Oryzias latipes: one gene and its partners. The protein of the gene in region 3 purifies or fractionates together with the protein of the main gene of each other region. This does not show direct contact. Links are inferred from orthologs where the notes say so. Each region holds a gene or a part of one and is shown on either strand. Other genes may lie near its edges. The genes, in order: sqstm1; usp50; NACHT, LRR and PYD domains-containing protein 12; nek7.

Region 1 (7,363 bases), on a different chromosome or scaffold from region 3:
CAGGTCTCACTCCTGTCAGCTAAGAACAGGAAACTGAGGCTGCAATTCACTCAGAATCACCAAAACTGGACAACAGAAGATTGAAAAATGTTGTCTGGTCTGATGAGTCTCCATTTCTGCTGCCATATTTGGATGGTAGTGGCTTTTATCAACGGTTCAGACTGATGCTGGTGGTGTAATAGTGTGGGGGATATTTTCTTGGCACACTTTGGACCCCTTAATACCAGTTGACCAATGTTCCAATGCCACGCCTACCTGAGTATTGTTGCTGACCATGTCCATCCCTTTCTGACCACAGTGTACCGTCTTCTGATGGCTACTTCCAGCAGTATAAGGCACCGTGTCATAAAGCTGGAATCATCTAACCCTTGTGCTATCCTAGGCACTTTAACGTTGGGAGTTGGGTCATCTAGACCCACTAGACAGTGCTCTGAACCTTTTTTCTTCAATGATTTGTGATCTTCACTGGTGTCCATGGATTACATGAAATCTTTCCACCTTTATCCACCTTTGTCATGGTAGGAAGAACACGTCAATGTAAGGGTGGGGTCATAGCACAAGGGTTAAGCTATGTGACCGGAACTTCTTTTTAGCCGTACATTATCACTGTGGATTATCATTTTTTAATGGGGTCATAGGGTGGGGTCATCTGGACCCCATAGGATAGCACAAGGGTTATGTGGTTTAAGGCAGTTCTGAAGGCAAAAGGGGGTCCAAGGCAGTACTAGCAAGGTGTACCTAATAAAGTGGCTATTCAGTGTATATTTCTTGTGGTTTGACATTTTATATAGAAATTCCTACTATTTTGGTGATAGCCATATACATGCATTTCTGCAGTATTGCATTTAGGTGTGCCTGTGCTTTACATCAAAGCCTTCAGTTTGGAATAACGGACACTGGCAAGTGTGTGTCTTCTTTCTGAATTTGTGTGTCTGGCATTAGGAACAATGTTACTTTTGAAGCAATTCTTTTTTTACAGGTTTTTTTGAAGGTAGTTTGTGCTTTGTTTTCTTCAACTGATTGTTTTAAATTCTTTTATGCTTGAACTGAAACACATCTTTCCTTTGTCTTTGTTCTGAATGTTGGCAAAGAGAAAATCTGACGACCTTTTTAAACTATATTTACTTTTGTCTTTTTTAAATCTTTGTTCATATATGGCAGACAATTCTTCTTTATATATACATTTGAAAAACCTTTTATATTGTAATATTTTTTATTCACTGAATAATGGATTATATAGATGTGTGTAATTACTGCCAGTGATAATAAACGTTATTGCCTTTTTTGTAGAATACAAATTAGCCTGTTTCCCTAAATTTCAATGCAGTAGTTTAGAAATGGAAGAAACTGAGTTAAACCGTAAAAACGGTGCTTTGTTATCAAGAGCTGACTTAACTTTATGAAACGCCAAGTAATGCCCTCAATGATGACTCCCAGAAATTTCACATTCTTCACTCGGTCAGTTTTAATTCCATCCATTCAAATAAATTATATTTGGGTTTGTGTCTCTGTTGCCAAGTATCAAGAAGAAGATACGTTTGAACCTTTTGGATGTGTTAGCAATGTTATGTATATACAGACTGAAGAACTGGTCCTAGAACAGACCATTGAGCTACTCCACAAGTTCTATTCCAAAATTGTGATTTGATCTTATTTGTAGATACTGTCGTTTACATGAGTTGTTGGCCGTTGAAGAGCTTTCCCTCCAATGCTATATTTGAGTTCAAGGAAAATATTGGGGTTTGTGTCAAATACCTTTTTTAGTTCAAGGAAAGTTCATGGATTGTTGTTGAATGAGAATTTTTCTTTCAATATGAGAGATCAGGCTGCTGTTTAGCACGTGGTCACTTTGAGTGAAACAGTTCTCTCTTCAGGTTCTGGTGTTTCTGTCATCCAACTTTCACTACTGTGTTCTTTATCTGCAGCTGATTGGTCCAGCAATGAGACGTTCTGCTGATGAAGCTCACTTCCATCCCCGCGCCTTTAGCTCAGCCTGCTCTCTCAAATCTGATTCCGAAATCCAAGAGGAGGAGCCTCCAGCTTGTGGGCGGAGTCAAGCCCCCAACATGCCCCACCCAGGACTCAGTGTTTCCTCCCTGTTCGAAACTGAGGAAGACTTCAGTATTGACTTCTAGCAGCTCCTATGTGTAGTCTGGTTCAAGTGTGCTGCTGGTGGAGGTGTTGCCGTGGAAACAGGTGATATAAAATTACATTTAGTGTTTCATTTGGACTGTTTTGGTTCTCAAAAGCAGCCTGCTGTGCACTTGGCAGTACAGGTGTGTATCAAGACTCCACCCACTCGGATTCCTTCATGTTTTTATTGTTCAGAAACAGATTAATAAAAGACAGAAACAGGTTAAGGAGTTGATTAACAGTTGAACAGATAGAAACTCAGGTTAAATAAAGCAGCTGGTGCGGTCACTGTGGTGGGCGGGGCTGCTTGGCGTACTGGATGGCGTCCAGAGCCGCTCCAATGTCAAAGTTTTTGGCCTGGAGGAGTCTGGTGAGCCAGCCCCCCTCATCAGTGAAGCCCATCGACAGCATCTGAGCCAGAGACTCCACCAAGTGGGGGTCCGCCTCTGTGGGGGGCAGAGGGAGGAGCTTACAAGAGGGCAACAGTCATAGCAAATGATACTTGTGAGAACTAGACTCACCTTGAGGCAGGTGGGGGTACAGCGCAGCCTCCCGCAGACCTGTTGGCCCCTGCTGCCCTCCCGACGGGGGCCCCTGCTTCCCTCCCGACGGGGGCCCCTGCTGCCCTACCGACGGCTGCTGCCCTCCCGACGGGGGCCCCTGCTGCCCTCCCGACGGCAGCTCGCACTCGTGGTTCTTGGGGTCTAAGGATTGCAGCTCCCCCGTGGACGGGTCCACCTCTTTGGAGCTCAGGTGAGTCCACTCCTCGTCAGAGTCCCGGCTTGCCTGCGTGTACGTGGGGACGAGGGTCAGTTGTTGACACGTTCATTTCAGTCATTGATCAGTGAACACAGACTGACCTTTGACCTCTCAGCAGTTGCAGACTCCCCTTCGTTTACATCCATTGCCACATTGTCATCCCCCCCTCCAGCCTGAGTGGGTGGATTCACCTTCGACCTCTGCCCGTCATGCTCAACATCAATGTCCACGTCGATTCCTGCATGGAAATCATGACATCACTTCCTGCCTGTCCCCCAAAAACAGCAACTCCACTATGTACACTCACCCAGGGGGCTCAACATGGCGGCAACCCCCTCCCCAATGTTCTTCAGGAAGTCCACACTAGCCTGGGAAGCTGCAGAGGTCAGAGGTTAAGGTGGGAGCATGTTAATGCCCTAGGCTCAAACGTTTTTTGAGTTTCTCTCACCTGATGGTTCTCCACCGTCACCCGAAGATGCTGATGGCCTTGGCTGGTCCTGCTGTTCCTGCTGCTCTGGGTTTTGGTTTTGATTCTGGTTCTGGTTCCACATGCAGTGTCTCATTCTCTTCATCCACTTTCCACGGGGAAACCACTGCAGACACAGTTTCTGGTTCAGTCAGTGCATTTTGGCTTTGACCAAAAAGTCCTTTCTTTTAAATCAGCACGATGTCCAGACAGAAGTGGAAAGACGATTAGATGGTTAGATGGAGTAACTCACCTGCAGGGGGTGCCAGATGGGCAGCAAAGCGTGCTCAGTGTGCTTCCCTTGAGCCTGGCAGGTGGAGCAAAGGTCGTAGTCGGGACAAACGGAGCACTTGAACCGCATTCCCACAACCGGCCCTTCACAGCCGTCACAGGTGACGTTAGGGTGCAGGGCGGGGGGAGGGCCGTGATGTGGAGCATGAGGGGGGCCATGGGGTGGTGGGTGTCCAAACATGAAAGGGGGTAGGGCATGCAGTGGGAAATCACGGCGGTGCTCCTTCTTCTCTGTCAGAGTTCAGGAAGAAAAAAAAAAAAAAAACCGTGAGGGAGGACTGCTGGGAGGTCACTCTGATCTCACACAGGAGGCCGTGCATTTACCTTTGATGTAGAGGCGGAAGGTGGAGTCCTTCACGCAGCCCAGGCCCATCATCAGCTCATCATCAGAAGAAAAGGCCACCAAATCTCCATCCTCATCTGAAATATAAACCGGAATCACACCTGAAGCTCCTCCCCTCTACGTCATAAGGTCCCACCTACTCCGCCTGTGTTTGTGTGTGGGTGTGGGGGGGGGGGGGGGGTCTAAACTTCGGGCCTCCTGATCAACTGAATATTTTCAATTGCGCACAAATCAAAGGACAGAAATTTGTGGGCGTGGCTACATGCGTCACGTGACAGCAATCCCTTTAAATTAGCTGTTTCTTAAATAAGTCAGTGGGCGGATTATGTTTGTACAGATTCAAATGTCTACAGTCCTTCTATATACTCGAATGTTTCTCTAAGTTGGTCTTCCGCGTTACTGCGGCTGTTTAATAAAGTATTGACAAAAAGTTCGGTTCCAGGTTAGTGAGTATGACGGTTCCGATCAGACCCAGCGGATCCCGGCTCTGTCTGACCCGGCCCATGCGGCTCACCTTTGTAGAAGAGGTTGAAGGAGGAGTTCATCAGGTTGGAGAAGACCGCCGCGGTTTTCTTGCTGAGATATTCGAAGTTGCAGGACACGTCCTGGTCCACCGCGAAGCGGCGGATCTCCTTCACATGCTCGTCCTTCCCCAGAAGGTAAGCCTTCACCGTCACAGACATGCTGCTGCTGCTGTGGACTCCGAACCACAAAGTTCTGACACCGGGAGCAGGACCGAGACACAGACGCAAAACCGTCACTTGAACAGTCCAAGAAAAATCCCAGTTTGTGACGCAGCGATAAATTTCAGCCTCTTTTATGTTTACTTCCGCAGGTGACGTGATTCTGTTAACAGTTGCGCAGCCGCGGATTGGTCCGTGTAAAAGGAACGCCGGTTCCAGAGGTCCAATCAGAGGCCGTCTTGTGTGTCACGTGATCAGGATCCCAGCAGACAGTTCACACACATCGCGGAGTCACCGTGAGAAGGCAGACTGCGGCCATGAAAACACGGAAACGATGAATCGCCTAGAGACGTCCTCCTGTGTTTATCAAACCTGTGGCCCATCGGAATGGATCCTTCTAGAATTAGTAGGAAAGTTCTAGACTGCTTCAGTACTTTTAGTGTTTCAGACTAAACAAGGGAAAAAATTTAATCTTTTCAATTTAAAACTATGGAAGTTCATTAAAGAGAAATTAGTAACTAACCATAAAATGTCAGTTATTTTAAATAAATAATTCATTTAACATTGGAATTTTTTTCCTTAAAACAGTTAAACTTCATTAGATTTTTTCTTTTGGAGAAAAAAAACGTTATATGTTTTTGAAATTTGTAATTCATTTTTTCTCAGCTGTTCAAGGAGGAGCCTACATTTTTATGTTATTCTTGTTAATGTTATAATGTAATATTTATTCTTTAAAATTATTATTGTTTTAGAGATTACTTCCAAGTCAAAAGGAAAAAAGTTTGTCACAAGAAAATAATAATAAATAATCAGGCCTTATAACATCGAAGACAAGTGAACAATCTAAACCTAAGATACAACTTTACTTAAATAAATAAACCAAAACTACAACGCCATTGTTTATTGAAATCATCAGGGTTTTTTGTTTAAAGCCAAAGAGACCTAATGGAAGGTTAAAATAGCTGCATGAAGACTAATATATTGTATTCTAGTAAATACTCATGATTAGTTAACTGTAAGCATTTTTCATGTCTACCATTATTTGTCCTGGATCACTGAGAGGGAGTTGATGTCTAAAATTCTTCAGTTATTTTTCCTATTCAGAGGGAAAAAAAGAAAAACAATTTTCAGAAGTGTAGTAAATGGATTACATCTGTAAACTACCAGTAATGATAAATTCATAGTCAATGTTTATGAGGAAATCTCCTGATATTCTGTCCACCTTTAGGTCTTCTCTTCAAATCTTAATGATTAATTCACCAACATGGGGAATTTGCATGCTTTGTTCAGTTGTGTGTACTGTTGTGTGTTTGTGTACTCTGCCTTCATGCACGCCTTTGTGGTGATGTCACCCACCGTCCTGAGCCAATCAGCTGACAATGACTCACAGTCACATGAAGTCAGTAAAACCAGTTCAATGACCACTGAGGAAAAAACCGTGAAGTCATGGAAGGTGGTTCCCTGAGAAACCACATCAACCCTGAAGACCTGAGAGAGGCTCACCTCTGCAGGACTGCAGCCTGGAACCTTAGTGACCTGGAACCCAAAACCTTCCGTTTATCTGAAGCTCCCACAGTTTCACAGATGAAGAGTGTGACGATCAAAGAGTCTGACTTTCACCTGTTTCTTATCTTAAGAAGAGTCTGACTTCCTGTTTCTTTGTTAGGGTGGGTGTGATCTCGTCTTTGTTCTGTCTAGATCACTGTTGACATTCAATGCAGACACTTCAGAGCTTTTCTCCAAAGCTGTAACCAGTCCACCAAATCTCTGCTTGTATCAGTTCTCATCCTCAGTCTGATGCCTGTTGTTGATGATGACACACAAGGAGGTAACACTGACAGTGCTGCAGCTACACCAGACAGAACGGTCTGTTGTGATTAACTAAGATATATTGTGACATTTCATCTCAATAAAGGAGATTTCCACAGCTAATCACACAGGAAGACCCACCATCCAATCAGAGGAACACGCAGATACAAAAGCACCAATCGCAGCATTTGTTGACAATAGACAGCAGGAAGACATTAACCGTCTTTTCTGAGCTCCTCTTTTTGGTCTCCATCTCTGCACCTCCTCTCTGCTCCTCTTTTACATCTGCCCCCAGCTTCCCCTGTCTCTGCTCTTTCAATTCACTCTTATCTGTTGCTGCAAATCCTCATTTCTGCTTGATTGTTGAACTTCTGTGAAAAAGTCTGTTCAGCGAGCTGTGAATCTGTGCAAATAATGAAATCCTCTCACCTTTGTGTGAACTGAAAGTCCGTGTTACTGTCTCCGGCTGGGATACAGTTCTAATATATTCTTTAACTCTGGATAGAAAATCCCCACCAGACCTGAGCAGAGTTTTTCTCTATCTGCTCCTGTATGGTTTATTATTGGCAGTGACATTTTGGAGCTGGGATTGTGATTTCTTGCTCTTGATGAGCCGGAACAACAACCTTCTTTCTTAGTTCTGATGAAATCAGGCTTATACCAACAACAGACAATCTATTTGAATCGATTGAAATTTATTTTATCCACAAAGGTCTATTTTATCCACAAATATTTAATATTTAACAGTTTCTGTACATATTGTTCATTTTTTGTTAAGAGTTGTAAATACAGTATTTCTATTTCCATTCTATTTTTTATTTTTATTTTATGCAACTCCTTCACTCCAAGGCTGCTGCAATTTCATTGTATCCCCATGTA
Region 2 (7,271 bases), on a different chromosome or scaffold from region 3:
ATATTAACCCCAAGCAAATCATGATAATTTATTAAAACGGCTTCAAATGAAGATTGTGTCTGAATATTATTTAATTTTGTGGTTTTGATGCAGCAGGTGAGCAGTTGTATTGCAACCCAAAAGACCAGCAGGTTCTAGATTATTTCTTTCCTGGAAGGTAAGAAGGACTCTGCACGACGAGCAGGATTCTGACAGGAAACTGGCAGAACTTACAGGCCGGCGATTCGCGGCCTGTGGAAAGGCTTGTGGCTGTAGAACAGCAGGTAGGCGTTTGGAGATTGCACACGGTCCTCTTGAACCTCACAGACTGCAGCGTCATCAAAACAATGCCACGTCTGAGCCAGGCTGTTGTAGCACAGAGCTGTGTAGTGACCCATGTTCAGGTGACCTGTATGGTTCTGTAGAAGAAAAGGAGTTTGTTTCTATGAGGATGAAGATAACACCCTGAAATAAAAAAACTAGTTCCTTTTTGTTTTCTTGGTCAATATTGTAGCAACAAATGAAAGGAGAGACATCAAGAGAAAAAAACTCAAACTAAATCAATGCAAAACACTAAGTTTGCCATGATCAGAAAATCCCAGAGCCCTGTATTCTCAGCCAATCGTTTTGTTTTCTTTAATTCACGATTATTTTTCTTTTTAATACTATGAAAATTCTATTTGTTTAGTGTGTACACAAAATAAAAGAAAGTAAATAATTATCTTTCTGAAATAAGGTGGGTTTTTCATCAGTGTATGCCCTGTTTATGTTATTGTTTTCCATCTCCAAAAATGTTATTTTGGAAAAATTATCCAGAAGTGTTTTAAGATATTAGACCCACAGCAGAAAAAAACACCAGAGCAGAATCATTTTTACATTATTTTTTTGTTCCCCTTCAGATTTTATTAATTTTTTTCATTTTAGACCAGATTCTGCCTCATTGTCATGTTCAAAAATAATGTCAGGGTAAACTCTATTTTTGCCTTTTATGATTTAGTCGTCTTTTTTTTTTTTAAGTCAAGACGTGACGTTCTTATTCTGACAAATGCGTGTGAGTTTTTACCCACCACAACAGCATACAGGTGGTAAGATGATTCATTCGGCACCAGGCCTGACAGAAACTGGGAGAGGTCGAGCTTCATGAAGAAAAGAACGTTTGTTCTCAGTTTCACCTGACTCTTCCCTTTGGATCCAAACCTGCAGACAAGATGGAAGAGGGGATTTCTGATGTTCATCCAAAACTGCTTAGCTCCTGCTGTCTCATGAATAACTCAACACAAGTGCCTCACAACAAATACATGTGTTACTCTAGTTACTCAACTGAGTAACTTATTTGAGTCTTATTTAAACTCTTGGGCTCCATGGTGGCGCAGTAGTTCAGTTCTTGCTTCACAGCCAGAAGGCCCAGGTTTGAATCCCGGCTGGAGCCTCTCTGTGTGGAGTTGGCATGCTCACCCCGATTATGTGTGAGTTTTCTCCGAGCACTCCAGCTTCTTCCCACAGACCAAAAACATGCTTCACAGGCTTATTGGTTACTCTAAGTTGTCCATAGGTATGCGTGTTGGAGTGGTTGTGTGCCCTGCAACGTAATGGCGACCTGTCAGAATGTAACCCGCCTTTCACCCATGCAGCCCCGTGACTCCAAACGAGGTAGTGGGTAATGAAAATTGATGGATTTGAACTCTCACCTATGGCATCCATGAAGTACACCTAATCTGTGACTCTCAACATTTAAAAAAATTACAGAGGTCACATTTATACTTTTTTTTAAAACAAAAGTTATTCAAATGAATAAATTTCAAACATACAAATTTAAAATCGCATTTTTTCAATTGTCATGGCAATTTTGTTGGCCACCATCCTTTTCCCTACCAACCACTGATAAACGTAATATAAACATGACTTCTCAACCAGTAACTGTAACTGATGTCCAATTTAGAAAAGCATATAAAGTACTGTTATCTACAAATATATCTTTAGCACTTCTCTTCTGGACCGCAACTAAAACTTGTGCAACATACAATAATATGTGCTTTAAACCTATTCTAATGACAAAGCTTACAGAAAAGGAAACTCTTACCAATCTTTTGCACAAAATTTGAAATCTCTGCATTCTGGAGAAATGCCGGGAACATGAGGCCTATTGATTTAGTCTGACGTAGGCAGGAGTGTAAAATAACTTACTGTTCTTAGCCCTGACCTTAAAAAAACCCAACCAAATCAATGCTTACTAGTAGCCCTTAAATATTTCTTTAGTGAGCCATGATGAAGGGGTACAACAAATTAGCTCTGGAGTCTCAGTTTGCCGCCTTGTGCTTGACCCAAACAGGTTTGCGTTTTTACATTGACAGTGGTTGTAAAAGAGACATGATGCTGTTTAACCCTTGTGCTATCCTAGGCACTTTAACATTGGGAGTTGGGTCATCTAGACCCACTAGACAGTGCTCTGAACCTTTTTTCTTCAATGATTTGTGATCTTCACTGGTGTCCATGGATTACATGAAATCTTTCCACCTTTATCCACCTTTGTCATGGTGGGAATAACACGTCAATGTCAGGGTGGGGTCATTTAAGATAGCACAAGGGTTAAACACACCGTTTCAAATGCAGCACGAGGATCTCTGGAGTTCTGTCCACACACGTGACGATGGCTGTTTCCCTTTTCAGCCCGCACACTGAGCACATGGCCTGCTCCCCCCCAGTGAGGACAGTCTGCTTGAAGAACAGTGCCAAACAGTCCTGCACAAACACACAAAGAAGATCAACTGAGACCACTGTGTTCTTGCTGGAGGGGGAGGGGGGGGGGTTATCAGGAAGCACTGAATGCTTCTTTTGTTGTTCAAGCAATACCTGAATGGAGCACTTGATGTTACCCTTTGGAACTGGCAATGAGAGTACAGTGAAGGCTTGGGTGTTATGTGCTTGGTGATGGCAGTGCATGCAGATGCACATGTAGCTTAGCTGGCCCTCAAACAAACGTGTGACAAGGTTTGAATGGGGCGAGCAGCCCTTGATCTGTTCCATTCTCGCCGGCTGTGATGAGAAGAGCGCCTGCCGCTGTGCTGCCTTTAACACCAGAAACACCGTCAGTCTGAGCACACAAAGTAGAGCGCCCAAACATGTTTAAGAGCACCTTGTTGAAGTCGTCGTGAAGCGTGTTGAGGAGAAGGAGCAGCAGCTCCTGTGCGTCTTGCTGGGAGTCGTTGTTGAACTGGGGGAGGACGGAGCACAGCGCTGACCTGACCTCCAAAGGGCTACAGCTGGAGCCACTTCCCATCCACATTTTCTCCAGCAGGTGCACAAACACTTCAGAGACCCTGCACTTAGACCTTCATAAACACAAAACACTGAGAAATTGCGATGGTATACATCTGAGTTATTCAAGATAAAGTGGTGGTACCTTGCAAGTCCTTTCCGTGTGTCCCAGTGAAGAAGTTGTTCCACGAGGGGCACAGTGGCACACAGACACTGCAGCACAGCATTCAGGTAGCAAGAGTTGCCAGAGTTTTCTAGGCCACACACTCCTGGTCTCCTGCACTTTTTCTGGAATCTCAGCAGTAAGCTGGAGCTGGGATTCTCCATTGCTGTGGCAACACTTTTTGTACTTGTCCTGCAAAGATAAAACAGTAAATACAGCATACACAGAAACTAATTCTACATGGAGGATCCCAGATTTACCATTACTGCTGGATTAAAGCATCATCAGCTATTTTAAAAGCTTGATCCTGCTGATGAGGAAGATGCAGTGATGCTAAACAGGATTCAGCTGAATCTCAGCTTCATTATCTCCACAGATCAAATTATCCAAAAATGGAAAGTGGCTTGTTTTTGCTTTTCTTTTAACTGTTGAAGCTTTCATTGGTGCAGCAACGTCACACAGACTCACCCTGCTTTGCAGAGGTGTGTTGAGCCAGTCTCCTGGTAAGAGCAGCTATTCAGCCGCGGCAGAACCGGAACGCTGATGTTGTGGTCGGCAGTCAGCTGTGAGGCCAGAGCTTGGCTGAACTCCGTCAGCTGGATGTGCCTGCCTGAAAGCTGCAGGCGTTGTAGTGTGTGGAGCACATACGTATTGATGCAGACTGTGTGCAATGTGACCCAGAGGCCTGGAAGAAATACATCCATAGAAGATCCTGTTGGGTCTGAATGGGGAACCAGACAAGGGCCGGTCCATCCCTGCAGGTGGGAGGAAAATGTGGACTCTGGGTCCTTAGATGATAGATGCTGAGGTGAGATTGGCAGAGATGCAGATGATGTCAGGTTCCTCACCTCCTTTTGAGACGTTGGGACAAAGTGAACATTCATATTTACTCCTGAGAGGATGTTTTGGAGTTTGCCCTCCATCCAGGCCGAGGAATCAATCTGCACCACCCGTTTCTGGCTGCAGAAAGGTGCCAGCAGGTACCTGATGACCTGCTCAACCACAGGCTTCCTGCTCTGTTTCTGGAGCTGCTGCTGACTGTACAGGAACATGTTGCAGATGAATCCAGAGCTTGTGTCGGCGAGGAGAGCCAGTTGGAGAGAGCACTGACCCTGCTGGTGGTATAGTCTGTATTTTGTCACAGTCAGGTTCGGGCCGTGACAGTGCAGAACCTGATAGCGTCTGAATATGTGGCTGCAGAAAGCAGACAAGGCTTCCAACTTGTTTTCATCTTCCAATCCGGTCAGAGACAAAATTTTGTTCTGGATGCTGTTTCTCTTCAGAAGACCCTGTAATTTGTCCAACTTCTGGGTTAGCTCAGGGCTGAACCTGGAGTTCTCTCCAACACACAAACCACTCTGTAGAACTATAGAAAACCACATCAGTGCCTCAGCGTACTCCTCAGAGAGGACACTGCTCTGCTCTCTGCTGTGTGACAGCCGCTGACCTCCAGCCTTCACTCCAGGAGCTCTCCTCATCAACTCCCAGATGGCTTCTCTGTCCAGAACCTCTAGAAAAAGCTCTCTGGCAGTATGGTAAACCTGATATGTTGGGGTAACTGGAGTCTTCTTTCTACGTGGCTTCACTTTTCTAGACCTGTAAATATTTGGCAAACAAAGTCTGTCGGTCTCCACAGCTCCATCCAGCTCCTCCACTAGATGGCACTCCTCTGTTGTCCAGGTGCACTCCTTCACAGTTATGGAGCTGGCCTTCATTTCAGCCCCTGTCCCTGCATTACAAAGAAACCATGACAGTTTGGTTTCTTCAAATGCAACAATATTTGAGCTCAATTAGAACTTAGAAAAAGAAAAATGTGGGATCCACGTGTTACCTGAAACTCTCCAGCATCCCGTTAAGTTTGATGGTAAAGCTGAGCAGAGACTGAATGCAGCTCAGGTAAGTTGCATCCTCTTTCCTGGGAGTGTACTGTACGTACGTGGATGCATGATGAAGCAAACACACACACTCATGAGAATCTACTGTTAACTTCAATCACCAGGGATCAGCAGTAGCCAGACAACACAGCCCTGACGACGAACAAACAGCCACCTGAAACTGTAGTCATGTCACGTCATGTTTCGGCTGGATGTTGAGCAAATGAGCTGGAACCTGAAGAACGTCCATGCCTCGCTTCAGGTGGTCTTCCAACATGTTTTGGACCTTTGCATGAAATATTTTCTAGCCTTAATGTACATGTATGAAAATATCTGCAATGCAAGCATTTACCAGCAGTAGAAAAAAACTGTAATAAAACAAACATTTCCCAAACAAACTTGCAGGTTTAAGAACAGCAAAGCCTAAAGCCTTCTGGGTTTTAAAGCCAAACTTTGTATGGAAATGCACCAGAAAAACCTTCAATTTCTGCAAACTCATCTCCATGAACAGAATCTTTGTTAGAAGGAGGATTTTAGCAAATCCAATCTAAAAGTCAGACGTTTTTAAGAAGATTGTCACAGATAACTCACAGCTAGTGTTTGCACAGGTGGTTTGGCAGAGATTTTCTTTACACCAGGCCCTGTACTTCATCTGGGTTGAGGACTGTCACAGGGAGACCCAGACTTTTGGCTACATTGTTAGGTTGTATAACACGAAGATGTCTGGCCAAAGGACCCACAATGGATGAAGCTCATCGCGCCCCCTGGGAATCAAACCCTGGTTTCTCCTGCGCCAGTCCTGCACGCAGCCAACTGAGCCGTCCAGCTGCTCACAGGCAATTAAAACCTCAAAATTGGTTCCTAAAACAGGAAATACTTTCTGCCTTTGACAATTTGCAAAGTCCTACTAGAAAGTAAAATCAGCATTTGAATAAAGAGAATGAGTGGAACAATGTTAAAGGGTTTCAATCGTCCCTCTTAGGCAGCCGAGCTGACCCATGACCTGATCAAACAGAGTGGACTGACACAAACAGATCACAATGGCTCTAAAAACCACCATCCATCATCAGAACCTGCTGTATTCCTTTCAGGGTCAAGGGGCCGAAAGTGGAACAAACCCTGAACAGGTTGCCAGTCTGATGCAGAGCAACACACTCCCACCTAGGGACAGTTTTAGAGAAATCAATAACCTATGAAGCATGTTTTTGGACTGTGGGAGGAAGCCAAAGTGCCCAAAGAAAACCCAGGCATCCACAAGGACAACATGCAAACTCCACACAAAAAGTCCCAGCGGGGATTTCAACCTTTCTTGCTGTCAGTCGATGGTGTTAACCACTGTTGCACCGTTTACCCCACAAAGCCACTAATGATGGTAAAAAAAGTTACATAAAATTTCAAACAATGATGTTTGTCTTCCCCTTGAAAATGTGGGATCTTCATTTCTAAAAGAAATGCAAATTTTCCTTTAAGCTGAAGAGAACTTTGAACCACTGAGCACCAATCCATGTTTCTGTTCCTAACCCAGATTAGGCACGGTGACATGGCAAGGACAGCAGTTCAAATCCATCTTCTGAATAGTTTTCATATAATTTAATTGCTTGTTTTGCCTTTTAAACCACACATTTTTCTTCCACTGAATTTTCCATCAATGTCTTCAAATACAGTGTGAACAACCAACTTTTTTCTTTAGAGACTCACACTTTTTGTGCAAATTGTTTTACAGTTTCATGGTGTTTTTCAAAACTAATACTGAAGTTCTTCATCCCTGAATTTACTAGTTATTCATCAATTATCAAGACCTGATCTAACATTAGCATACATAGAGATGTTTCACTTCTATGAGAAAAGCAAAAAGGGTTTCAATTTATTGGTTGACCAAAAGGTAAGTCAGTAGTTTGAATTGGAAGCCATTTCAGTCAGACAAACTCATGCAGTAAAATATTTATTTTCACATACTTAATTTTCACATTCTTAGTTGGGATTCACAATCTTTTTGTTTG
Region 3 (7,087 bases):
AGAACATATTTTCTGCAGAGCGGCTGGAATTTGTTAGATTCTCTGGGTTTGGTGCAGGAGTGTTGGGATGGAGTGTCCCCACTTGGCATCACCCATCTGTTTACGCATTCCCCTACTAGCTTACAGCCCCTAACAACCCCAACCTAACATTAGTGGTTGTTGGTCTGAGGATGTCAGAAACTGCTCATCTACTGGAATTTTCACCCACGACCATCTCTAGGGTTTACAGAGAATGGTCTGAAAAAGAGAGAATATCAAGTGAGCATCAGTTCTGTGAGCGGGAATGCCTTGTTGAGGTCAGGGGAAAATTTCCAGCCGATAGAGACAACAGGAACTGAAAGAACCACTGGTTCCAACCGAGGTTTGCAGAAGAGCATCTCTGAACACAAAACACGTCCAACCTGGAGGCAGATGGACTGCAGCAACAGAAGACCACACCGGGTACCACTGCTGTCAGCTAACAGGAAACTGAGGCTGCAATTCACACAGACTCACCAAAACTGGACCATAGAATATGGATAAACATTGTCAGGTCTGAGTCTCCATTTCTGCTGCCACATTCGGATGGTAAGGTCAGAATTTGGCATCAACAACATGAAAGCATGGATCCATCTTCCTTGTATTAATGGTTCAGGCTGGTGGTGGTGGTGTCATGGTGTGGGGGATTTTTTCTTGGTACACCTTAGTACCAATTGATCATGTTACATCACTGCATCCTACCCGAGTATTGTTGCTGACCATGTCCATCCCTTTCTGACCACAGTGTACCATTTTCTAATGGCTACTTCCAGCAGGACAGGGCTCCATGTCATAAAGCTGGAATCATCTCAGACTGGTTTCTAGAACATGACAATGAGTTCTCTGGACTCAAATGGCCTCCACACTCACCAGATCTCAACCCAATAGAGAACCTATGGGATGTGTTGGAACGGCAGATTGGCATCATGGATGTGCGGCCGACAAATCTGCAGCAACTGTGTGATGTTGTCATGTCAATATGGACCAATGTGGAATGTTTCCAGAACCTTGTTGAATTTATTCCACCAAGGATTAAAACAGTTCTGAAGGCAAAAGCGGGTCCAACCCGGTACTGACAAGGACCTACCCCCTACTGGCCCCTCCACTCCATCCTACAAGCCCCCCCCCCCCCCCCCCCCTCTCACCCTCACCCGCAAAGCCATCAGGATTGCAAGGGACCCCTCACACCCATCCCAGAGACACTTCAACCTGCTGCCAGGAGGCTGCAAAGTCTGCAGGCCAGAACCAGCAGACTAAAAGACAGTTTCCTCCATCAGGCAATAAGGACACTCAACTCCCTCCCTGCCCTCCCCCCTCTGGCCCCTCCACTCCATCCTACAAGCTCACATTGAAAACTTCACACCATTTCAGAACACCATCATCACCAAAGACTGCCATCAATGACTCATCCACTTACTGTTCTCAGCACTGATGTCACTTTAAACTGCCACTTCAACCATGCCACTGTTCTTTAGCACTGTTTAGACTACTGTTATTCCTCTTACTATTACTATTACTGTCTTTTTATCTATTTTTTACGTCGTTTATTTATTATTTTATATGCTGCTTGCACTGTGGGGTGAGAGAAAATCAATTTCATCTGTGCTGTATGTCTTATGGATGCAGCATACTTGACAATAAAGCTGACTTTGACTTTCAGTCTATCTGCCTTGGTGGATCAGTGGGTGTTAACATGTTTTAATGTTTTGAGAAGGTGTGAGATTAAACATTTTTTTATTACAATTTAAAATTTATCCCTTTATTTTCCATCAATTTGACAAAATACACCAACCTAAGACAGTGGAAAAAGTAGAATAATCCTCAAGCACCAAGGATGCGCTTTCTCACATGTCTGTATTATTACAATTCTCCACCAGAGGGCACCACAATGTAGTTTTCGCTTGTTTGTCCTCATCGGCCCCCTCAGACCCTGCGTACAAATAGTTGTATTCTGTTGAGACTTCGGGAAAATTGATGACGTTACAATATAATTGTAAATAAATATAAATATTTCCCAATTTATTATATATGATATGATATTATTAGTTTTCATGAAGGGAAATTAATGAAATTTACCAAATATAATTTTTTTGTGCCACTTCTATTTTCAAAAATTTTGAGTCAATGTTTATTACAATTGATTCTAAATGTTTTTGTACCAGTTCCACCATAGATGGCTAATTGTTTCTGCGCAGGTCGCCCTCATTTTGCCTTCAGGGGCAAATGACTGGTTTTCTCTGCATCATCTGCAGCCTCTGTGGCGCGGGAAGGTCCATGTAGAGCTGGGAATAGGATTAACAATTTTAACGTATCTTATCATCTGTTGATTAGCAGGATGAATTCTATGCAGAAGTTATTTTTATTTTTTAACTTTATTGTAAACGTCAATCTCAGTACAAAACAATTACATATAAATGATATAAAATAAAACAAAAAAAAAAATAAAGTAGGAAAAAACTACAAAAGCACACAGAGTATGGAGGATTGATAAAACATTGCAGAATTGACAGTTGAAATAATTATATGTTGGGAGCAAATTTAAAGACATTTTATAACTTTTGGGTTATTTGAAAAATTAACTAATTCAGTATAATTTGACTTCCACAAGGACATTTGTTAAAAAGTAAAATGGCATATTGTTATGTTGGTGGAAGACAAACAATTTCCAAATTTAAAAAAAGGAGAGAGCAAATTAGTAACAAAAGAAAATGGCCAAAAAGATTGAGTAAAGGGGGCAATGCCAAGACAGATGATTATTTCAATATTGGGTTTACATTTTATTAAATGGGTTTTGGCAGGGTGAATCTATGTAAACTTGATATGTCTTTTTTCTCATTGGAAATAGAATTAGGTAAAAAGCAGGTCTTTTTCCAAGATAGTGTTTCCAATACGTGTCAAAGTTACCCTGTTTTTTCTGAAATACCGCTCTAATGTCTCTGTTCTTTGCAAAAGTTAATATTATTCAGATGAGGAGGAGAAATGCGTCACCAGTCCGCCTGGAAGGAGTCCGGTCTGCAGCGCCCCCTGCAGGCCACCGAAACCGAAAGTTTCCGGAGGTGTTTGCGCACAGAACTCAGTCGCAGTTGATGACGATCCGGAAAAAGAAAGTTGGAAGCAACAGCGGGTCGAGGATTCGGTCCGGATCTACATGGACCTTCCCGCGCCACAGAGGCTGCAGATGATGCAGAGAAAACCTGTCATTTGCCCCTGAAGGTAAAATGAGGGCGACCTGCGCAGTCATTGTCACCTGATACCTGCGCAGGGAGGGAAGCGACTGGAGGCTGCAGAGCAGAGGCCTCAATGACGGGGGGAGAAATAGGAACTTCGGCTTATGTGAGTATGCAGGTCAAGAGTTTATTAGTGTCTTTGATTTTCCAAGATAAGAAAATTAAATAACTTTTTTTTTATATGACAGTAATAATTAATATAATAATCCAACTACTGTGTCAATATTATCAAGTCTTGTCTGCACAGGAACTTTACAGCTCCAGACATGCGCACAAGAAAACTTTGTGAACAGGTAGAAACAGGCAAATTACAGCTTTGGACTGACGTGACGCACATTCTTCAGACAGGAGTGAAGGAGAGTCTCAGAGGAAATTACTGATCGGACTGTTAATGATTGTGATTGATTGAGAAATGATCAATCAGGAAGTTACAGTCAGAGGTCACGTGGGTTTCTTATCAGGGAAGGAGAAAGCCGCTTTAAATTAGACAGTGGAACAAATAGTGTTTATTAGAAAATATGTGCAGTATTTTGTCAGAAGAGCAATTCCTCAAACGGATCTCGAACTGTTGTTTGACTCTGTGAATATTTGATTGACTGCCATAGAGATTAAGAAACAAACATCCATCAATAAAATCTGTGATTGGCGGGATGTGAGTCACACCAGCTGTTAAAGATTGGGTTTATTTTTTATGGCTTCAGGTTCAGGTTATGACTGAGGATGAGTGGTTCAAGGAGGAAGAGGAAGAGGGACACATCAGAGATTCCACCATCTCGCAGTTTGCCCCGATCCAAACCTGAACCCTCACAATCAAAGTAAGACGCTTACTAAAAAAAAGGGAGATCTTTGAACAGAAGGAGGAAAAGATGATCAAAAACAGTTTGTTTTCCTGTAAGAAACCTTCTGCAATCTGCCTAATGATCACATTGTCTTTTTAGTCTGAAAACTATCCCTTCAAGTGAAACTCCATCACATTCATGCAGAGAAATGCCCTCTTTTACCCAGGTTTTACCCTGTAATCTTCTGTTTTTATTTGCAGACATCCACAGAAACTTTGTTCTTCATCATCCAGCTCTCTGTCCCTAAAGAGTGACTGGTCCAAAGAGGAAAACCCGCATTTCAGTGCTGAACCTGAACCATCACCCTCAAAGTGAGACTTTTTTTTTGTGAGACAAAATAGGAAATACTTTTTTTTTTTTTTACCAAGCGAGATCTTTGTGCAAAGGAGGAAAAGATGAACTTAAAACAGTTATTTTCCTATAAAAAGCCTTCTATATTCCTACAACCTGGTGTGTTATGTTGGTTCTCAGGTCATCATCCCCACTGTAGTTCTCTTAATGAGTGGTATCTATGTTTACAGTGGAAGTTCTCCTCACCTTGCTGAACTGGTTATTCAGGGAATCTCACAGGTGTTTTTTAGAGAGGAAAACTGATGAATTGACGGCACGCTGCGCCGTTTAAAAGAAAAAACAACACCTTGAACCTTTATCCAATTGGTATAGTCCTAAAGAGGGGTGTTCCTGTTGTTTCGGAGGTCTGCTTTTATTCATAAAGCACATTAATTGTGGTTCCTTTAAGCAGTTCGAGCGCTAAGGTGATTCTGTACATGATTTAGGACTAAAGCTTAAAATTACAGAATTCTGTGATTTTTTTTTTTTTTTGTGTGGAAAGTTTATATGATTCAGAATATTTTTTTGTAATCCTAAATTACAATTAAGGGTGATAAATTCTAGGATTTTATCTATTTAAGATGCCTAATTAAGGATCGCACGATCTTTTTATTTTGAGGAATGTTCTTTACTTGGAACGCCATCACATCAATGCAGAAAATTCTTTTTATGACCTGCAGACGGCTGTGATCTTCTGTTTTTATTTACAGACATCCACAGAAACCCGATTCTTCATCGTCCAGCTCTCTGTCCCTGAAGAGTGACTGGTCCAAAGAGGAAAACCCGAATTTCAGTGCCGAACCGGGTCGCCCAAATTCAAAGTAAGAGGCCGTTTCATCCAAGATTATCAGATTAGCTTTATCAGAGGTTTCATGTCTGCTTTACTGTAGCTGAATGTGAACAGGAAAGCCCTGATTATCAACACAGATTTTCAAAGATGCCTTTCAGTGAGATAGAAAGACTAAATGTTTTTAAGGAGATGCAGAAAACCTGTCATTGTAAAACCTTTCTGTCAGGATGTGTAATCTAGGGAATAGTTATGAACTTGTTGTGGATGTCTGGAGTCTTGATCTGACTTCCTTTCTTGATCTCTGTCAGCTTCTGTTTGAGCTGTTTCCTCCTGTTCACAGACAGAGAGATTCTTCTGGGGAGAGGAAGCCCTCCAGCTGTTGGTTTTGTCTGAACGTCCTGGAGGAGCCGGTCTGCAGCAGCTGTGGACACGGCTTGTGCAGACAGTGCATCGCCTCCAACCAGGCCGCTCCATCCAGAGCCTCCTCCTGTTCACGATGTGAAAGAAGATCCAGAGCGGAAGCTGGACCGCAGACAGCCGGTCAGAGCAGAAGAACTCAGAGTAAAACCTTTGTGACGTGGGTTTGGACCAAAATGAGACCATTTTCTGTCTCTCTGCTTCTGTTTTTCCCCTCGTAGAAGGTTTTCGTCTCCAGAAGCAGTTTTTTAAACATCGGGTCAGACAGAGGAAGAGAAGCGAGCATGTGGCTGAAGGAAGTGAAGAAGAAGCAGCAGGAGGAGGAGGAGGAATGCTTCTCAACGACATCTACACTGAGCTTTACATCACTGAGGGGCTGAGGGACAAGGTGCACACCCAACACGAGGTGAGGCAGCTGGAGACGGCCTCCAAGAACAAAGAAACACGCAAGGCTTCAATCAGGTGCCACGACATCTTCAAAGCTTTCCAGAACCAGGATGGACCCGTCCGAGTGGTTCTGACGAGCGGCATTGCTGGCATTGGAAAAACCTTCCTGGTGCAGAAGTTCACTCTGGACTGGGCCGAGGGTCTGGAGAACCAAGACGTCATTTCTGTGGTTCCTCTTTCCCTCAGGGAGCTAAACTTGGTCAGAGATGAGCAGTACAGTCTTCACAGTCTGATCCAGCTTTTCCATCCAGCGTTCCAGAAGATCCCAGCAGAGCAGCTGGATGTCAATAAACTTCTGTTCATCTTTGATGGCCTGGATGAAAGCAGACTTTCTCTGGACTTCCACAACAGTCAGGTGGTGTCTGATGTCACCCAGAAGTCCTCAGTCAGCGTTCTTCTGACAAACCTCATCCAGGGACGTCTGCTTCCCTCAGCTCTGGTCTGGATCACTTCCAGACCTGCAGCAGCCCACCAGATCCCTGAAAAACTCGTGGATCGGCTGACAGAAGTGATCGGCTTCGATGATTCTCAGAAGGAGGAGTACTTCAGGAAGAGGTTCAGCGACGAAGAGCAGTTCAGCAGAATCATCTCCCACATCCAGAGCTCCAGGAGCCTTCACGTCATGTGCAGAGTCCCAATCTTCTGCTGGATCACTGCTACGGTTCTGGAGCACATGTTGACCACAGAAGATAGAGGAGAGGTGCCAACGACTCTGACTGACATGTACTCGCAGTTCCTGATGGTCCAGACAAAGAGGAAGAAGAAGTACCAACAGGGATGCGAGACGTGTCCACAGGAAGTGACAGAGGCTGACAGGGAAGTCCTCCTGAAGCTGGGGAAGCTGGCGTTTAAACATCTGGAGAAGGGGAACATCATGTTCTACCAAGAAGACCTGCAGCAGTGTGGTCTGGATGTGACGGAGGCCCTGTTACATTCAGGGGTTTGTACTGAGATCTTCAGAAGAGAGTGCATGATCTTCCAAAGACCTGTTTACTCCTTTGTGCATCTGAGCGTCCAGG
Region 4 (7,261 bases), on a different chromosome or scaffold from region 3:
GAAACGACAGCCCGCTTAACGCGTCAGCTGTCGTTTGCATCACACATCTCAGCAACTCAAAGTGCTAGAATTTGTTAAACGGTTTGAGGCTTTTAGCTCCAACAATACGAGGATAAAGCTCGTTGTTTTTGCTCTTTGTAGCCTCTCATCTTTGATTATCTACTTAAAGGGTATTTTATTTTAGATGGAATGTTTACTTTAATGATAATTGTTCAATTACTTTTATAAATTTATTTTGATTTCAATAAAAAAAACATTTTGTAGCAAGTATATGGAGCCAAAAAAGAAAAAAGACAATTTAATTTTCTTTGCTTTGAAATAAACTACACAATGTTATCGTGACATAACCCGACACTGGATACTGAGAGAACTTCATCATCTCTAAAGCAGGTCCGAGGTCAGCATTTTTGTTTTTGTGCATTTCCGTAATCTTTTCCCCCCATAAGACTGCTATTGTGCCCTTCAAAGAAAAGCATCAATGCACAGTCAAATTAACAACTCTCATATGACATAAGGAGCCACGAGGCATTATCCGAGGATATTTTACTGAAAGAAGCATCAGTGACCCTTCATATGATAGAGGGGAGGTGGATATGGAAAATATTGACAGGCTGGTTGCTAGAGAAGAGTGCAAAAAGCCATTTAGACAACCCACACTCATTGCTAGAGACCTTAGTCTAAACTCTAACCACCCTGAACCGGAGAAGAAAAGATTAAATTCATAACTCTGCCAGGGAATTAAGAATCTACTTGACTAATCCACATAATTTCCTCTGTTTTTTTTAAAACTTGTATTATAATGAACCAAGCAGCCTCAAAGCCTTTATACCAGACTGGCCTATGTAGTGATCTACTACCTTTGTCAGGATTGTTTCTGCACACTTGGGCAAGGGCTTTGACATCATGCAAAAGACAGTGTTAAATGTAGCTCAAAAAGCCTAGGGAAACATCTCCTTTCAAATATGCGTTGTAAAATAAAAAAAATGCGAAAAAAAGCAAACAATGTTTTGTTCTTTCTAGAAACCCAAAGGCAAGATGACTGTTAAAGTGGTCAGATGACAAATGTCTCATCTGATCTTTATTCCTTTAAGGGCCAGCTCCAGGGCTCAAATAAAAACTCGCAAGACTGACTGTTTTGCTGCTCTAAATGCAATATATTTCTTTGGCATATAAATGGCACTTTAGCCCTTATTGTCAATGCCTCAATAGAATAAAATCACTAACCCAGCAGAATTTAGCAAAAAAAAAATGAAAGAAAAAAAAAAGACTTTTTCAAAATTGAGTAAAATAATATTTGCATTGGTAAAGTGCACATTAAAAAAATATGGAAACATTGTATATATAAACAATAATAACTGTCTTTATTTTGTTTTTAAGGGTTACTGCTCTACCGGACCACTTTTCTGTTCATCCCACTTAGATCCAAGCAGCACAAAAAATACAAAAAAAAAAAAGAGTTAAATCATTTAGTATTTTCAAAGCCTGTCAAAAGTAATCCACCTCCCATCACTGAAACTCAAGGGGAGATGTACTGGCAGAAATCCTTCATCACAGAGGCTGACACAAACATTTGCCATCCGTTTCTGCTTATCCCGCTCATGACACATTCCTTGACTATCAACTTCACAGGGCCAGCCAGTGTTCATCTCAATCACCTGATGATGCTCACAGACTGAGGCCTGTTGTCTCTGATGATGATCAAATGTGGCAACACAGAAGTGAGTAATAATTGGGTCAACAAGGTATGTCAGCTCCCACTAACACTTGTCTGAATCATCCCTCTGTAGCATAGCCAAGTGCAAAAGTATGACGCCTGAAATATTTGGCTGAGAGGGGCAGTAACAGCACCATGGGAAACGGCTCCAAGTCTAAATATGACCCAACGTGAACTTTTTCTATGATGAGTAATTCTCTAGCTTTTTACCTAAAATATACAAATTGAATAATACAAAAGACATTTGAATATGGTTTAAAACAATTTATTTCTGCTGAAGATAACAAAAATCTAGAAATTAGTTACGGAGTTTTGTTAATGCTAAGAGTTTTTATACTAGAAGTGTAACAACCGGTACTCGTTTTAATGCTTCGATTCATATAATACAAATTAAATAAATCCATTCACAAAGAAAAAAAATTATATATATATATATATATATATATATATATATATATATATATAAAAACTGATTGGGCGGCGTTTCATAATACAGATGGACAACGACCCAAAACATGCAGCCAAAGCAACTCAGGAGTTCATTCAAGCAAAGAAGTGGAATATTCTTGAATGGCCAAGTCTGTCACCTGATCTTAACCCAATTGAGCAGCATTTCACTTGTTGAAGACTAAACTTCAGACAGAAAGGCCCACAAACAAACAGCAACTGAAAGCCGCTGCAGTAAAGGCCTGGCAGAGCATTCAGAAGGAGAAAACCCAGCATCTGGTGATGTCCAGGAGTTCAAGACTTCAGGCTGTCATTACCAACAAAGGGTTTTCAACCAAATATCAGTAATGACCATTTTGTTTTCAGTCATTTCATTTGTCCACTTACTTACGAGCCCATGAAATGAATGGATTGTGTTAAAAAAATGCTTTAGTTTATCACATTTTTATGCAATCTTGTTGTTCAACCCATGGAATAAAAGCTGAAAGTCTGCACTTCAATGACATCTGAGTTGTTTTATTTAAAATTCACTGTGGTAATGTACAGAAACTAAATTAGAATGTCTCTCTGTCCAAATATTTATGGTCCTGACTGTATATATTCTTACGATCTAAGATATCTTATCATCCAAACACATCTCAAAAGCTGCCAAAAAGCAACCTTTTTGTTTTCTTTTCTTTTCGCTTTATCTCCTTATCCAGAGATTTACAATTAACTAGTGCTTGTTCTCACTGCCAAAACACTGAATGAATGTGATTTCCAGTCACAAGTTCTGATTTAATTTGATAGGCAAATTGACACCAAGCATTCAAATTAATTTTCCTTATTATCTCATTAAAAATGAACATTGAAATTGCTTAGTAGGCAATTAGTTCCCAAAGATGAAGATAGTCAGACTGTACTGAGGTTTTGTTTATAGAATTAATCAGACATCTTCAATTGTTTTATTGTATGTGAGAGAGATAAAAGAGGGGTTGATCAATTATTTAACAAACCGTACGTCCAAATAAATCAAATAATGTTCTTCCTTCGAACGACTGAGAGTAAAGCTACATCAACACACATCTGTCGAAATAAGCGGACACTGTACTGTAATGGTTCCATTTCAGATTTGGCTCCGTTGTTTGTTGTAGGGTGCAATGAAATACATGTGTTAGACATATACTTGCATCAAAACACCAATCAATTTGTGGCGGAGACCGTGCAGAGTGTAAGCACTCACCGACAGAGGCAGTTGTTTATTTCAAAGTTAGCAAAGCGGTGTGCTAATCAGCTAACAAGCTAAGCTAGCTAGCAAACTTCAAGGAAACTTTTTTTAAGGACCCAATCCAGACTTTAATAAAAGACACACTGACACTTGTGGGTTTTATCAACAATATTGTTTTTTTACAAGTATAACAAAAGAATTAACAACTCTCAAACAAATGTTTACTAGTTTGGCCAAGTTTTATTACTGTCAGCTCTAGACTGTACTCACCAGGAAGTCGGACTCTCAGTTGCTAAGCTATCCCTCCTTCACGCTACGAGTTTTCTATGGTCACTCAGGACGCTACTACTGTTGGATGACTTTTTCTTTCTTCCCAAGGTCGGAACCAAAAGGTGGGTCTTGTGTGGCAAGTCGCACTTGGTTTTATGCTCCGTCTCCTCACATGGAGCGCGTGTGCTACGAAGTCAGTCGAGACGTGATTTCAGGCAGACACTTGTGTGGAAGGCCCCTCACCACCACACGGCTCATACTTGTGACCCGAGAGTCAGCAATGTAAACAACCCAGCATTCCCGAAGCCCAGAGGAGGGAAGATGTCAAATACCGCGAGATTTAAGAACTATGCTTAGTTTATTTATTTGTTGGTTTCTTCAATCAATCCTATAATTGCTATTGCTAATATGTAGGTGTTACGCTCTTTCCACATTTAAATAATACAACAATTTGGTTGTTTTTTTTTTACAAATCTGATGTTGCATCTTAAGACCTCCAAGTCTAGACCTCATGTACCATTTTGTTCTGATACTTGTGCTTTCATACGAATAACTTTTTTTTTAGCAATTTAATAGTAATCACATGTAATCATCATCTATTTTTAATCTAGCCTAAAAATTGCTGTAAAAAACTAATTTTTAGGTATATTCATTTAAATTCCTGACAATGTAGTGCAGTAAAAAATCAAAATACATTATAAAAACAGCTTCACTGGCTCCCCATCCCGGCCATTCCGCATTCAATACAAAATCCTGCTCTACGCATTAATCAAAGCCTTTCACAACCTTGCACCTCCATATCTCCATATGGCCTCCTTCATTATGAAGGAGGCCATATGGAGATTTGAACTTCATATCTCCATACCTGCTCGCTGCCTCCGCTCCTCTTCCTCTATCCAGTTTTCTGTCCCTTCTGCCCGTCTTGTCACCATGGGGAGCCGGGCATTCAGTTGCTCTGCTCCCCGGCTTTGGAACTCACTCCCCCCTGACCTCCGCAACACTGACACACTCCCACATTTCAAATCAAAGCTAAAAACTCATCTTTTCCAAATGGCCTATTCACTTTAACATTGACCTTTTCATGTTTTTATATATATTTTATTTAATTGTGTATTTATTTAAATTGTTGTTGTTGTTTTAACAGCTTATTGTATTTTATACTGTATACATGCTGTGCGACGACCTTGAGTGCCCAGAAAGGCGCCTTATAAATAAAATGTATTATTATTATTATTATTAAAAAGTGGCTTTATTAAGTTTTCTTATTATAAACAACGTCCAAGCTTAACTTTTAAACTACCGAGGGGTATTTTTTTAACCCTGAACAATAAAGAAAAAAATTAAATAAAAACAAAACACCAAGTCTAGAGTTCTCTAATTTAACACATAAAAAAGTAGGAACTCTTTTCTGAGCAATCCCAAAAATATTGACCACAGACTTCTTATTAATACCTATAACTGCCATTATTGTCACGTGTCACATGATCAGGGGTGGATTTAGTAGATATAGAAGATATAGTGCACCTGCAGGTTGTTTTTTTGTAGTTTTGTGTATGGAGGGGGTGGGCAGGTCCTAGTATTTTTTGTTGACCGCATAATTTAACATTAATCATTGTATGAGTTTCAAGCCTCAAAAATGAGTCTTTTTTGTTATATATATTTTTCACATGCTTACAAAAAAATAAACCTGCCTCTGCGTCTCCAGAGTCTGATCAAGGATTAAAGTCGTTACAATACCATAATACATAGGTTGACACACCTTATTATGCAGTTTATCACAACAGTAAGACAGTAGTACAGACATGAGTAATTTTATAGTTTCCTCTAACATGTTTGGTTAGTGTGATAAATTTGAAAACTGGGATGCAGCAGAAGAGAAAAAGAGAAGAGAAAATAACAAGACTGAAGTACTAATAATTGATTTAATATTTATTTCTTTCATAAGTGATCATGGTATAAGCGGTAGAATGCCCTTCCTTCGGAGAGTACTATCAGAGACTATCAGAAATGAATGGACTTTGTGGAAGCAACCATCTGACGCAATCAGACTTCCATGCCATTTTATCATTTTGATAACGGACACCTTATCGGAATCTGCCCCTTGCATAATAAATAATAGTTAAAGATTAAAAATAAGATTCTTGCATTTTTTTAAATAATACAATAAAACAAAAATAAAGAGGGGGCTCGGGCATCTAGTCCGGATGCCTCCTGGGCTCCTCCCTGGAGAGGTGTTCCGGGCATGTCCCACTGGGCAGAGGCCCCGGGGAAGACCCAGGCGGGCCTGGGAACGCCTCGGGGTACCCCCAGAGGAGCTGGAGAAAGTGGCCTGGGCGAAGGAAGTCTGGGCATCTCTGCTCAGCCTGCTGCCCCCGCGACCCGGTACCGGATAAACGGAGGAAGATGAATGGATGGATGGAAAAATAAAGCTATTTTAAATTTTCTTTTATTGGTGTTGTTATAAAAATGAATGCTCATTCAGAAACAGCCCAAGTTTTAAAATATGAAATACTTTATTTACTGTTCACATTCTTTGTCTAACAGTTACCAGGACAGGGTCCAGCAACCCTGTGACCCTAAAAGGGACATAGTGGATCAGAAAAGTGGATGGATGTTTGACTCATTATTTTTGTTGGTTAATTGTTTGTCATTCCTCTTTATCATAATTTTAGCTTCACAAAATTAATGTTTCTCTTTCCTGGAATGAAGTATTTGCCTCTTATTTCAGCGTAAGCTGTTTTCTATAGAGTTTTGTCTACAAAAAAGTTTTAGAAATAGAATTGCAATCTAAAATATTGAGGATTCTGCAGAAAATGTCATGCAGAGGGCAGAGCACTATGTTGCAATAAAACTTGCATGTATGACTCAATATTTATTCATTTATATTCACCTCCTATAGCATACTGTAAAATAGTTCATACTGTAACAGATGCAATTTGGATTAATATTTTCCACATTGACCTTTAAGTTTCCAACTCACAAAAAACATTTTTGTTTCATCATTTAAAAGTACAGTTTTTGCTCCTTTTTAGTCACTCTTAAATGATGTCAACTTCAGAGTACTTTAACCTTTACAGTATCTGTTGACATCTTTTCTTTTTCTTCTTCATCTAAAAGATGAAAGCATAAAAATGGTCCAGGAAGCTCTTGAAAAGTGTGAACTCCAAATCCTGCACCTATAAATAATATGGTATTAATCCTAAGGTCAATGATTTAAAAAGAAAAACAAACAGGCGATGATCCACACAAATCTGTGAATCTTCTAGAAAATGACTTAAAATGAAAAGTGCCAAGTTCTTGCAACAGTACTGTTAAAGTCCAGCTCAGGTTCTGCATTAATAAACACAAACCTCAACAATCTGAGGGTTTGAAGTTCTTCTCCAATGATGTAAGAACTCATTAACATTATAAAAAAAACATCATCTGCTAAATTTATATTTACTAATCACTGCTTCTCTGTGCTTGTCCATTGGAGCCAGTGTTGACCCACCATAAAGATCATTATTATCCTTATATGACCATTTGTGTCATAACTGATATACATTTCTGATACCCTTATCTCAATAGCATGATCCAAACCTTCATTTAAAATCCTATTATTAATATTACTTGGTCCATGTTTT

What was found.
Region 1: the proteins of NACHT, LRR and PYD domains-containing protein 12 (region 3) and sqstm1 purify together in Homo sapiens (affinity purification with western blotting; 3 studies listed by BioGRID). This does not show direct contact. The link is inferred for Oryzias latipes from reciprocal best matches to the Homo sapiens genes NLRP3 and SQSTM1.
Region 2: the proteins of NACHT, LRR and PYD domains-containing protein 12 (region 3) and usp50 purify together in Homo sapiens (affinity purification with western blotting; 3 studies listed by BioGRID). This does not show direct contact. The link is inferred for Oryzias latipes from reciprocal best matches to the Homo sapiens genes NLRP3 and USP50.
Region 4: the proteins of NACHT, LRR and PYD domains-containing protein 12 (region 3) and nek7 purify together in Homo sapiens (affinity purification with western blotting; 9 studies listed by BioGRID and IntAct, with this or other methods). This does not show direct contact. The link is inferred for Oryzias latipes from reciprocal best matches to the Homo sapiens genes NLRP3 and NEK7.

The regions. Positions count from the first base shown.
Region 1 is NC_019868.2:3,814,987-3,822,349, forward strand, and holds sqstm1 (sequestosome-1), read right to left. Parts: upstream 4,676-7,363; coding exon 4,507-4,675; intron 4,070-4,506; coding exon 3,974-4,069; intron 3,881-3,973; coding exon 3,612-3,880; intron 3,486-3,611; coding exon 3,341-3,485; intron 3,269-3,340; coding exon 3,200-3,268; intron 3,131-3,199; coding exon 2,994-3,130; intron 2,920-2,993; coding exon 2,655-2,919; intron 2,580-2,654; coding exon 2,419-2,579; 3' UTR 2,305-2,418; downstream 1-2,304. Other genes in the region: mrnip (MRN complex-interacting protein), read left to right, coding at 1,926-2,135. UniProt on the Homo sapiens protein: Molecular adapter required for selective macroautophagy (aggrephagy) by acting as a bridge between polyubiquitinated proteins and autophagosomes.
Region 2 is NC_019861.2:13,655,176-13,662,446, reverse strand, and holds the start of usp50 (inactive ubiquitin carboxyl-terminal hydrolase 50), read right to left. Parts: upstream 3,736-7,271; 5' UTR 3,619-3,735; coding exon 3,380-3,618; intron 3,309-3,379; coding exon 3,113-3,308; intron 3,046-3,112; coding exon 2,830-3,045; intron 2,719-2,829; coding exon 2,576-2,718; intron 1,177-2,575; coding exon 1,047-1,176; intron 399-1,046; coding exon 210-398; 3' UTR 1-209. UniProt on the Homo sapiens protein: Deubiquitinating enzyme that removes conjugated ubiquitin from specific proteins to regulate different cellular processes. Regulates the inflammasome signaling pathway by deubiquitinating 'Lys-63'-linked polyubiquitination of the PYCARD/ASC adapter protein.
Region 3 is NC_019866.2:2,346,564-2,353,650, reverse strand, and holds the start of NACHT, LRR and PYD domains-containing protein 12, read left to right. Parts: upstream 1-3,062; 5' UTR 3,063-3,351; intron 3,352-3,946; 5' UTR 3,947-3,965; coding exon 3,966-4,060; intron 4,061-4,284; coding exon 4,285-4,395; intron 4,396-5,124; coding exon 5,125-5,235; intron 5,236-5,544; coding exon 5,545-5,744; intron 5,745-5,842; coding exon 5,843-7,087. UniProt on the Homo sapiens protein: Sensor component of the NLRP3 inflammasome, which mediates inflammasome activation in response to defects in membrane integrity, leading to secretion of inflammatory cytokines IL1B and IL18 and pyroptosis.
Region 4 is NC_019862.2:14,418,656-14,425,916, reverse strand, and holds the start of nek7 (serine/threonine-protein kinase Nek7), read right to left. Parts: upstream 3,928-7,261; 5' UTR 3,639-3,927; intron 1-3,638. UniProt on the Homo sapiens protein: Protein kinase which plays an important role in mitotic cell cycle progression. Required for microtubule nucleation activity of the centrosome, robust mitotic spindle formation and cytokinesis.